Linked DNA regions of Drosophila melanogaster. The protein of the gene in region 1 interacts with the protein of each later gene in a pairwise test. Each region holds a gene or a part of one and is shown in the gene's direction. Other genes may lie near its edges. The genes, in order: GstZ2 and l(3)neo38.

Region 1 (3,549 bases):
TATCTCTGGAAATTGGTGTTTAGTGTTCGTTCGGTGGAAAACATATCCTCGAGATCGAATTGTGCGGAATTAGCTGGATAGACAGATATCCGAGGAGTAATTGTCGCTTTTCGATAAACCGGCTTGGATCGTAACCTCTTTTAATTCTTCATCGGTGTTGTGCGTGTGCACCAAACGGCTTCAAAATTAATTACTCAAAGTACCACCACAACGCTATGTCCTTATCGGCCATAGCCAAGGTAAGCGAATCCCAGCGTCATTGGCGCCTTCTTTCGGGCATTTGGCAAAAATCCATTCCAGTTCCCGCAAATATCACTCATACCACGCGGCCAGCAATCTCTGACTTCAGTTCACTTGGTCTAAGTTTCACTCATACCCCGCTTTCGAATCCGCAATTTGATTTTGCGCAGAACAGCGAGCTCTCCTCCCTCGCGTACACACTGCAAAAGTTGCAAAACAGGGTTGTCAGGCGGCGAAAAGTTGCAAAAAAGGATATGCATTTCAATTTCAAAAATCCGGTTGTATAAATGAATATAAACATTTGTCCTTGCTTAAATTAATTTATAAAACTTGCTTGATTTAATCACTATACATATTTAGGTAAAAGGCTTTTTGAATAACTGTTTTACATTTGTTGGAATAAATATAAGCTATAACAGAGAGGCATCTAATCCAACCCGCCTTCCACTTATGGCTTAGTTTTAGACCGAACTCGACAACCCTGCCCCTGGGTTTTGACTCAAACTCTAACGCGCCGACGGCCGAGCAACCCCTGAAAAAGCACACCCTCTCCAAGCGAATGGCGAAACTTCTGAGCCAATTTTCTCTTGAGTAGGGGTCCTGTGTCCTTGGAGCTGCCTTCGCGCTGTGGACTCAGGACAACGACAACTTGAATAAGGTTAATGCCCCTAGCCGACCTTGGGGTGCGACACAGTTCGGGACTCGGGAGCTCGGGACCTCGCTGCTCGGGGTTCGGGGTTCGAATGTAGGATGTCGGATATCGAAACTTATCGGACCCACCGTCCTCACTTTCGCCTGGGTTCATTGAACTTTTAGGGAACTCATTATGCTTTCGGTGAATACAGTTTCGTGTGGGTGGCGACGACAACGACCCGTCGATAGGCTCTGCTGGGTTGATTGGCCAAGCCGGAACAGCCAGCTGTGTGTATATCATTTTAGGGCTCGTCCTCATCGGCGGCCATTTGGTTAGGATATATAGTATATGGTATAGGGTCCGATACCGACCACCTCGACCGCCCGAAGCTCTCCACTGTTGCTTTGCAGCTGTTGTCGGGCGCTATTTTTGGTGCAAGTCGAACTCAACGCTGTGCTTTTTGTCAGTCTATCGCTGGCGTTGCTCCTGTCTGGACACCATGAATCATGTGGGTACATATGCAAACATCCATCCGAGAGCCTCGGAGAAAATCCCTGTTATCTGTGCATAGAAATAAGCGATAAGTGCGTAATTGAGTGCTCTGGCTTATCGCGAAGTAAACCAAATAGCCGCGCTAAATGCAAATGATTAAACCAGTTTGACTAGGCTTGTTGTGCGCCTACTAACCCAACTCGTTATCAGCGGCAACCTGTTCTGTGCTATTTGTGTTGTTTGTTGTCTCCGAATTAGAATAAATAGATTTCGTAATAGAGTTTGTGGGCCCGTCACGCCATTCGGCGCTGGCCAGTTGTGGTAAAATGTCTACTAATCTCTGTCCCAATGCTTCCTCCTCCGACATACAGCCAATACTCTACTCGTATTGGCGCAGCTCGTGCTCCTGGCGCGTGCGCATTGCGATGAACCTGAAGGAGATACCCTACGACATCAAGCCGATCAGCCTGATCAAATCCGGTGGCGAGCAGCACTGCAATGAGTACCGCGAGGTGAATCCAATGGAGCAGGTGCCCGCCCTACAGATTGGTAAGTATCTACCAAAGAAACCCAAGTCAACTTCCTTTACTCACCACATATCCACCATCAGATGGACACACCCTCATCGAATCGGTAGCCATAATGCACTACCTGGAGGAAACACGTCCCCAGCGACCACTCCTGCCACAGGACGTCCACAAGCGGGCCAAGGTGCGCGAAATAGTCGAGATCATTTGCTCTGGCATCCAGCCCCTGCAGAACCTCATCGTGCTCATCCATGTGGGCGAGGAGAAGAAGAAGGAGTGGGCCCAGCACTGGATTACACGAGGCTTCCGGGCGGTTGAGAAGGCGCTGTCCACTTCGGCCGGCAAATATTGCGTGGGCGATGAGATCTCCATGGCGGACTGCTGCCTCGTACCTCAGGTGTTCAATGCCCGAAGGTAAGTATGATACGAAATCAACTAAATCTCGAGATGCTGAAGCCTAGCTTGATTCATTGATTCCTATTTCGTTCCAGATTCCACGTCGACTTGCGACCGTATCCCATAATTCTGCGCATCGATCGCGAACTGGAGAGCAATCCGGCATTCCGGGCGGCCCATCCCTCCAATCAACCGGACTGTCCGCCGGAGCTGCCCAACAAATAGAATTTTCCGACCCCAACTGCAAAGCGCCGTAAGACGAAAAAGTGAATTGCAGTTCGTAAACCAGGCACAAGACAAACTAAGAACTTAAATCTGATCGGTGGGCACGTGGATGGCGATGGCGATGGAGAATGGATTGGATAGGATGGCAAAGCTGGCGAGGATTCCATTAAGCAGAAACAGTCGGATGTGATTTAAGAAATTGCTAACAGCATTTAAATATGCATAAATGCATAAAAATACTATCGATAACATAACGAAATTCCTCACACGAAATTCAAACGCAAACGCAAACGCAAAATTCTCAGAAAACGGAACAAAAAATCGTATAATAAATTCTTCAAATTCCCTTAGTTTGTCATTGTGAATATGATCTAAAAGATGAACTCATATATATTAAATGTAACTTATTTTTATGCATTTTATTTAGGCTAACAAATCATAACAAATTCAAGGAGAACTCACGACGAAAAGCAAAATTCAATTCAGGGATTTAAAAAAAAAAAACCAAAACCAAATTTAGAAACACTATCGAAGATTTACAAGTATAAACGATGTATGTATGTATGTATGTATAAGTACTTCATGTCAAAGTCAAAGGGCAGATGCTAAACAAATCGTTCACAAAGTACAAAACGTCAGTCAACCAATAAGTAAACTAAAGCAAGCTACATATACACTAAATCGAATAAATCCTAAGTAATTTATGTGAACTAAGCTAAAGAATCGATCACCTATTCGATGGTTCTGGATTTCGTAATGCCTCTTTGATACCACGAAAGCATAACTAACTAACGAAGTATTTCCCTAAATCCAATGCACATAGACGAAATACAAAGCGAACCGATTAAGTGCACAGTAATTTTATTAGCAAGTTGATGTAACTTGGACCGTGTGAGTCTCCTCACAACCCCGTACGAGTAGTTATAAACATAAGCCTGCCGATGCCAAGTACATACACACAAACACCCATACTTACTATCCTGCACGACAGTACAACGCACGAGTCGAAGAACGAACGCCAATAGTCATCATCAT
Region 2 (4,878 bases), 2.3 Mb from region 1:
TTTTCTAACTATTATTCGATACTCAGAATATTTGTATCTTCCGTCGATCGGCAGTAATTAATAATTGGAAAATGTGCATATAAACTCTAGATAACACATGTAACAGTTGCAATTGCTCGAAAATCAAGCTAAACAAAGCATTGCATTCAAAGATTCAAGCGCGGCAGAAAGAGAGAAGACGAGAGAACGAGCAAGTGAGTGAGAGACGAAACAAGGAGAATGTGAGAGAACGTAAAAAACTCCAACCCTCTGTATTAAACGAGTAGAAGACAAGACTGCAACAGGAAAAAACAAGAATGAGAAAAGACATACAGACATGCACACACAGGCGCTTATGCAAGTGCACGTGTATATGTGAATTAACACATAAAAATTAAGGTGCAGTCGAATCGACTTGCCGGTCTCCTGCGCATTTATTTTGTTACTTAATAATGTTAATATTATAAATAGAGATTGCTTAAATTTATTAAAAAAAGAAGTCATACGCATATTATTATATCTCTAGGTTATAGAAATATTTCCGTTAATTAAGCTTATGTAAATGGGGGTATATATGTATGTACATATATATGTATGTACATACAAGTATTTATCTGTCATCAAAATTCATAATGAAGAGGGATCACTAATTGAAAATGGGTCGAAACTCCTAGGGGGAGTTATTTTACCGATCTCGAACCCCTAGATGTGGGTTTGGAAAACATGAAAACACTTGCAAGAAGGCAGGAGAACAGAGGCAGAAGCGGAATCAAAAAAAGAACTTGTCTTAGTTCCACGGCCTGCTTTCTTTCGCCGCTGGACTCACTTTCATTAATACAACATACAGCAGAGGCAGAATTGAATGCAACGAGAGCAATGCGCTCGAGAACGCTCTGCTCTCTCGGCCTCTCCTTTCCCTTCGTCTACACATGTCCGTGGGCAAACAGATCCAGATACATGCACACAAGCATATAGCCAAACATAGATACTTGAAAACACATCGTACATACGCCGCTACAAACTGACATATTCACATGTAAACGTATAAGTGCACAGCCATACCACACAACCCCAAAAAGTTGGAAAACCAAATAAAAATACAAGGCGCATTGTATGTGCGTTTTTCTTGTGGACACTCTACGTCGATCTATGAGTACCCTTTTTGCAAGTTAATAAGAAATTTCATTATGATTGTTTCGAGTCCTAAAGGCTATATTCAAACCCAGATATAATGTAATATTTTTAAAAAATGTTCTTCAACAAGGTAGCCATTATCAGGAAATATATTAAAAGCAGGTTATCCTTTTACCCTCCAAAGAACTACAATAGTAGTTTTAGTAGTTTAGGGCATCCAAAGTGATCAAGATCCAGAATTTTGTTATGCAAATAAATTTATTCCCTACCATTAAAATACATAAATGCAATCTTAATGGCCCTTTCTGCTGTGCCTAAACCAAATCCAGATATTCAAAAAGTCATCCTGGTCGACGTTGTCAATACATTTGTTGTTGCCTCGACGGCGGTCACAAAAAGTAGCTCATCTCTCGCTGGAAACCAGTTTTTATGCTTCGCTCCCAACCGGTTTTCATCCTGATAACTTACAGCGAATTTCGTGGCTCGTCTCACTGCGTGTCTGGCTATGAGGTTCGGATCAGCTCGGTATCGGCTTCAGTCCCAGCATAAATTGCACTTCGCCTGCACGGATCGCGCATGAATATTCTGCCCAGCAATCTGGCCAAGTGACCAAGCCAATTTCGGGAGCAGGGGCCTGGGACCAGTGTCATATGCCCGACACTCGGTGCAGCGAAATGTAAGGAACGTTCAAATAAACGCGCATTTTCCAGAGAAGTAGAAAAACTTCCACCCTCAAAGCGGCACACAGCGCACAAACATACAGACAGTCGTACAAACACACAGCGAACTAATACAGACATGTAAGAATGCTGCAGTCGTGCAATTGGTTGGTAGACGAATAGTTGCTACCCAGTAAATGCGGGGGGTCATTGCCAATGCTTAACATGATCTTGGGAATAATTAAAAAAAATATATTTAACAAGAGGAGCGCTAAAAGGGGTGTAAAATTATCATTAGCAATCGGTTGATTTAAAAACATTCTATTTATTATATGTATTAAATAATTTGAAAAACTAATTAAACGATCAACTTATAGGTAAAATACCCATCTAAACTACCGATAAAGGTAACCATGAGAGATTGGATGAAAACGAGTGCCATTAGCCCTCTAACGAAATATAAAAACTAAAAACCATCTAAACCATAAGCGAGGAAAAGGGGTGCGAATACCTCCCAACCGATATACCCAGCGTGCCTCTGGGCACTGTCACTGTCATTTGCGTCGCAGCGCTGCCGCCGTCCGCGTCCGCGTCGCTTTGCCTGGCCCAGTGTTTCCGCTTTCTTTCGCCTCGTTGTAATGTTACTTTTAGTTTGATGTCGGAGCCTCGACGAGCCGGTCGTAAGCGAAATCGTAAGCGAGACTTTAGTGCGATTCCGCTCCGTTCCGCCGGTTGTGTGTGCGTGCTTAGTTCGAGCTGAGGCGAAGCAGAAGCAGAATCGGAATCAGAATCCAGCGGAATCGAGAATCAAAATCGAAACCGAAAGTGGTTCTCCGCGTGTGCGAGCTAGTGTGTGTGTGTGTGTACGTGTTGTGTTTGGGCCCGCTTTTCTGCTTTTCTACCCCCGAAAAAGCAAAGCACAGCATAAAACTGTGCGCTCGTAAGCGCGTACGTGTGTCTATGTGCCTCTGTGTGAGTGCTAGTGTATGAGTGCGACCAGGGGAAAGGAGGCAAAGAAAAGAAAACCAACCCCCACCAGCGACGGCGGAGAACAGGAAAACAACAACAGAAGGCACACAACCAGCGCACCACCACCATCATTACCATTACCGCCACCACCCACTACAACACTTCGTCATCGTTTCGCGTTGTGCAGAAAATAATTACAAAAAAGAAAAGAAATAGAATTGCAAGTAATATTAGCGACCGATCGAGTTTTAGTGCTAAAGCGATTCGAAAGATTGTCTTGCTTAAACCAAAAGGGCCCCTCGAGGCCCTAGAACTACTATCCATTACCCCGCCGATCATCCCGATCCTGACATGATGAACTTCTCCGCGTTCGGCGGCCCCTTCTCCGGCATCCACCAATTTGCCGCTAAATTCGACGCCCAGACGCCGGGCGCCTTCGGCACGCCCCCCGCGGCTGCCGCGAATGCAGCAGCCGCAGCGGCAGCGGCCGGCACCGATAACCATGTGCAGCGATATCAGACCAATGGCAATCACTTTAATCAGAATGTGCCCAACGGTAAGTGCATCTGCCCCACCACTACACTATACTATACAACATTTACAATGTGGCTACACATACGGACAGACAATCGCCTGCAATGCACATGCAGGCACATGTGTCTGTATAACATAATCACTAAAAATTTATTTTATTTTTATCGATTTATTTTCGCCCGCTGCGGGCAGCGACGCCGGCGTCAAAGCGTCAGGGGGTATACACTCTCACTCGAGCAGCGACAGTGGCGGTGGTGGTGGGGAGACAGAGTCGTTGACAGAGGCAGTGGCAGAGGGGGTCGGCTACTGCCTCGCCTAATGCCCTACACACAGAGGGTCTTGTTTTGGGGCAAAGGGCACTACTCTTGTTGGAATGGCAACTTCTGGATAGCCTTCTTTTTCAAAAATAAACTAAACGGGCTGCTGATAGTCATCAAAAACTAACGGGTACTTCTTGCAATAACTTATGATTAAGATCATCATAAATGAGAATAGTAAAACGTAAAAAATATACAACCTCTAATTTCGGTGAATAACACCTCTTGATTGTCCAATTGGTTCATATTTTAGTATTCATGACGGCAGGAAAAAGCAAGTAGAGTAAGCAAAAATATTTAAATGAAATTAATACAAATTGCTTATAGCTGTATTATTTTACAATAATATTCTGGAGTTCACGAACAAAGAGGTTTATTGATCTCAACATAAAGTTTGATTTGACCTTCTGTTTAGCATACTTTGCTTCAAACAAATCGTAGGACCTTATGACAATCCTATGAATAATTCTCAATAGTTTCAATTCTCTGAAGCTTAGTTAAAATTTCGTTTCCAATACTCAGCTAAAAAAAAAGTCCCACTTGAAACTCGAACAATACTTTCCTTGAATTCCCAGCGAAAGGTGGCTTCCATCTGGATCTACTTACTGACATTCGCATAAAGACATGTGTGAGTGTAAGCGGGTTTTCCACCCCCATCTACGAAATTCTCGCTTTCTGGCTAGCAAAGACATCTTCTTCAGGCAATTTGTAAACCGCACTACAATTTTTTGGGGGTTGGTTGGCGGGTTGGAGCGACTTAGTACGAGTACGAGTATACCCTGTCATCAAAGCAGAATTTAACGATTTTTTCGTCGTTGTTTTTGTTTTGCGCTCTTTTTATACGAATATTCCGCTCTATGTTTTGAGTCATTACCACCCACCCCCAAGTGGGTGTAACCTGTGTGTGTGTGAGTGTAAGCTATGGCTGTTGTTGTTTTGCGTGGCTTGAAAATGCAATGAACTCAAATAACTTTTGAATTTGCTGCATTTCACTTTGTTTTTTTGTAGGGGTGGGTTTCACCGCTCTCTTCAGCTACTTAAGCACATACATAGAAATACAATTAAATGCATATACGTATGTGTGTTGGGCGAGAGTATGTGAGTGAGTGTGTGTGTGTTTGAGTGTGAGTTACAACCCCCAACCCACGAGAGCCTGCCTTTGCCTTTTTAATTGCACTGACTTCCTGCCAACTTGCAACTTTTTTTGTTTTAGTGGAAGGGTGTGACCGGTTGGACGGTCTGGCGGTCGGTCGCTTCCATTCCCGATATATAGAATACATAACCCC

The links.
Region 2: the proteins of GstZ2 (region 1) and l(3)neo38 interact in a two-hybrid assay, tested with the Drosophila melanogaster proteins (2 studies listed by BioGRID).

The regions. Positions count from the first base shown.
Region 1 is NT_033777.3:9,456,961-9,460,509, reverse strand, and holds GstZ2 (glutathione S transferase Z2), read left to right. Parts: upstream 1-1,663; 5' UTR 1,664-1,692; coding exon 1,693-1,915; intron 1,916-1,976; coding exon 1,977-2,307; intron 2,308-2,384; coding exon 2,385-2,514; 3' UTR 2,515-2,863; downstream 2,864-3,549. UniProt on the Drosophila melanogaster protein: Catalyzes the glutathione dependent oxygenation of dichloroacetic acid to glyoxylic acid in vitro.
Region 2 is NT_033777.3:11,775,893-11,780,770, reverse strand, and holds the start of l(3)neo38 (lethal (3) neo38), read left to right. Parts: upstream 1-1,642; 5' UTR 1,643-1,789; exon of another isoform or gene 1,790-1,913; intron 1,914-2,149; 5' UTR 2,150-3,092; coding exon 3,093-3,297; intron 3,298-4,878.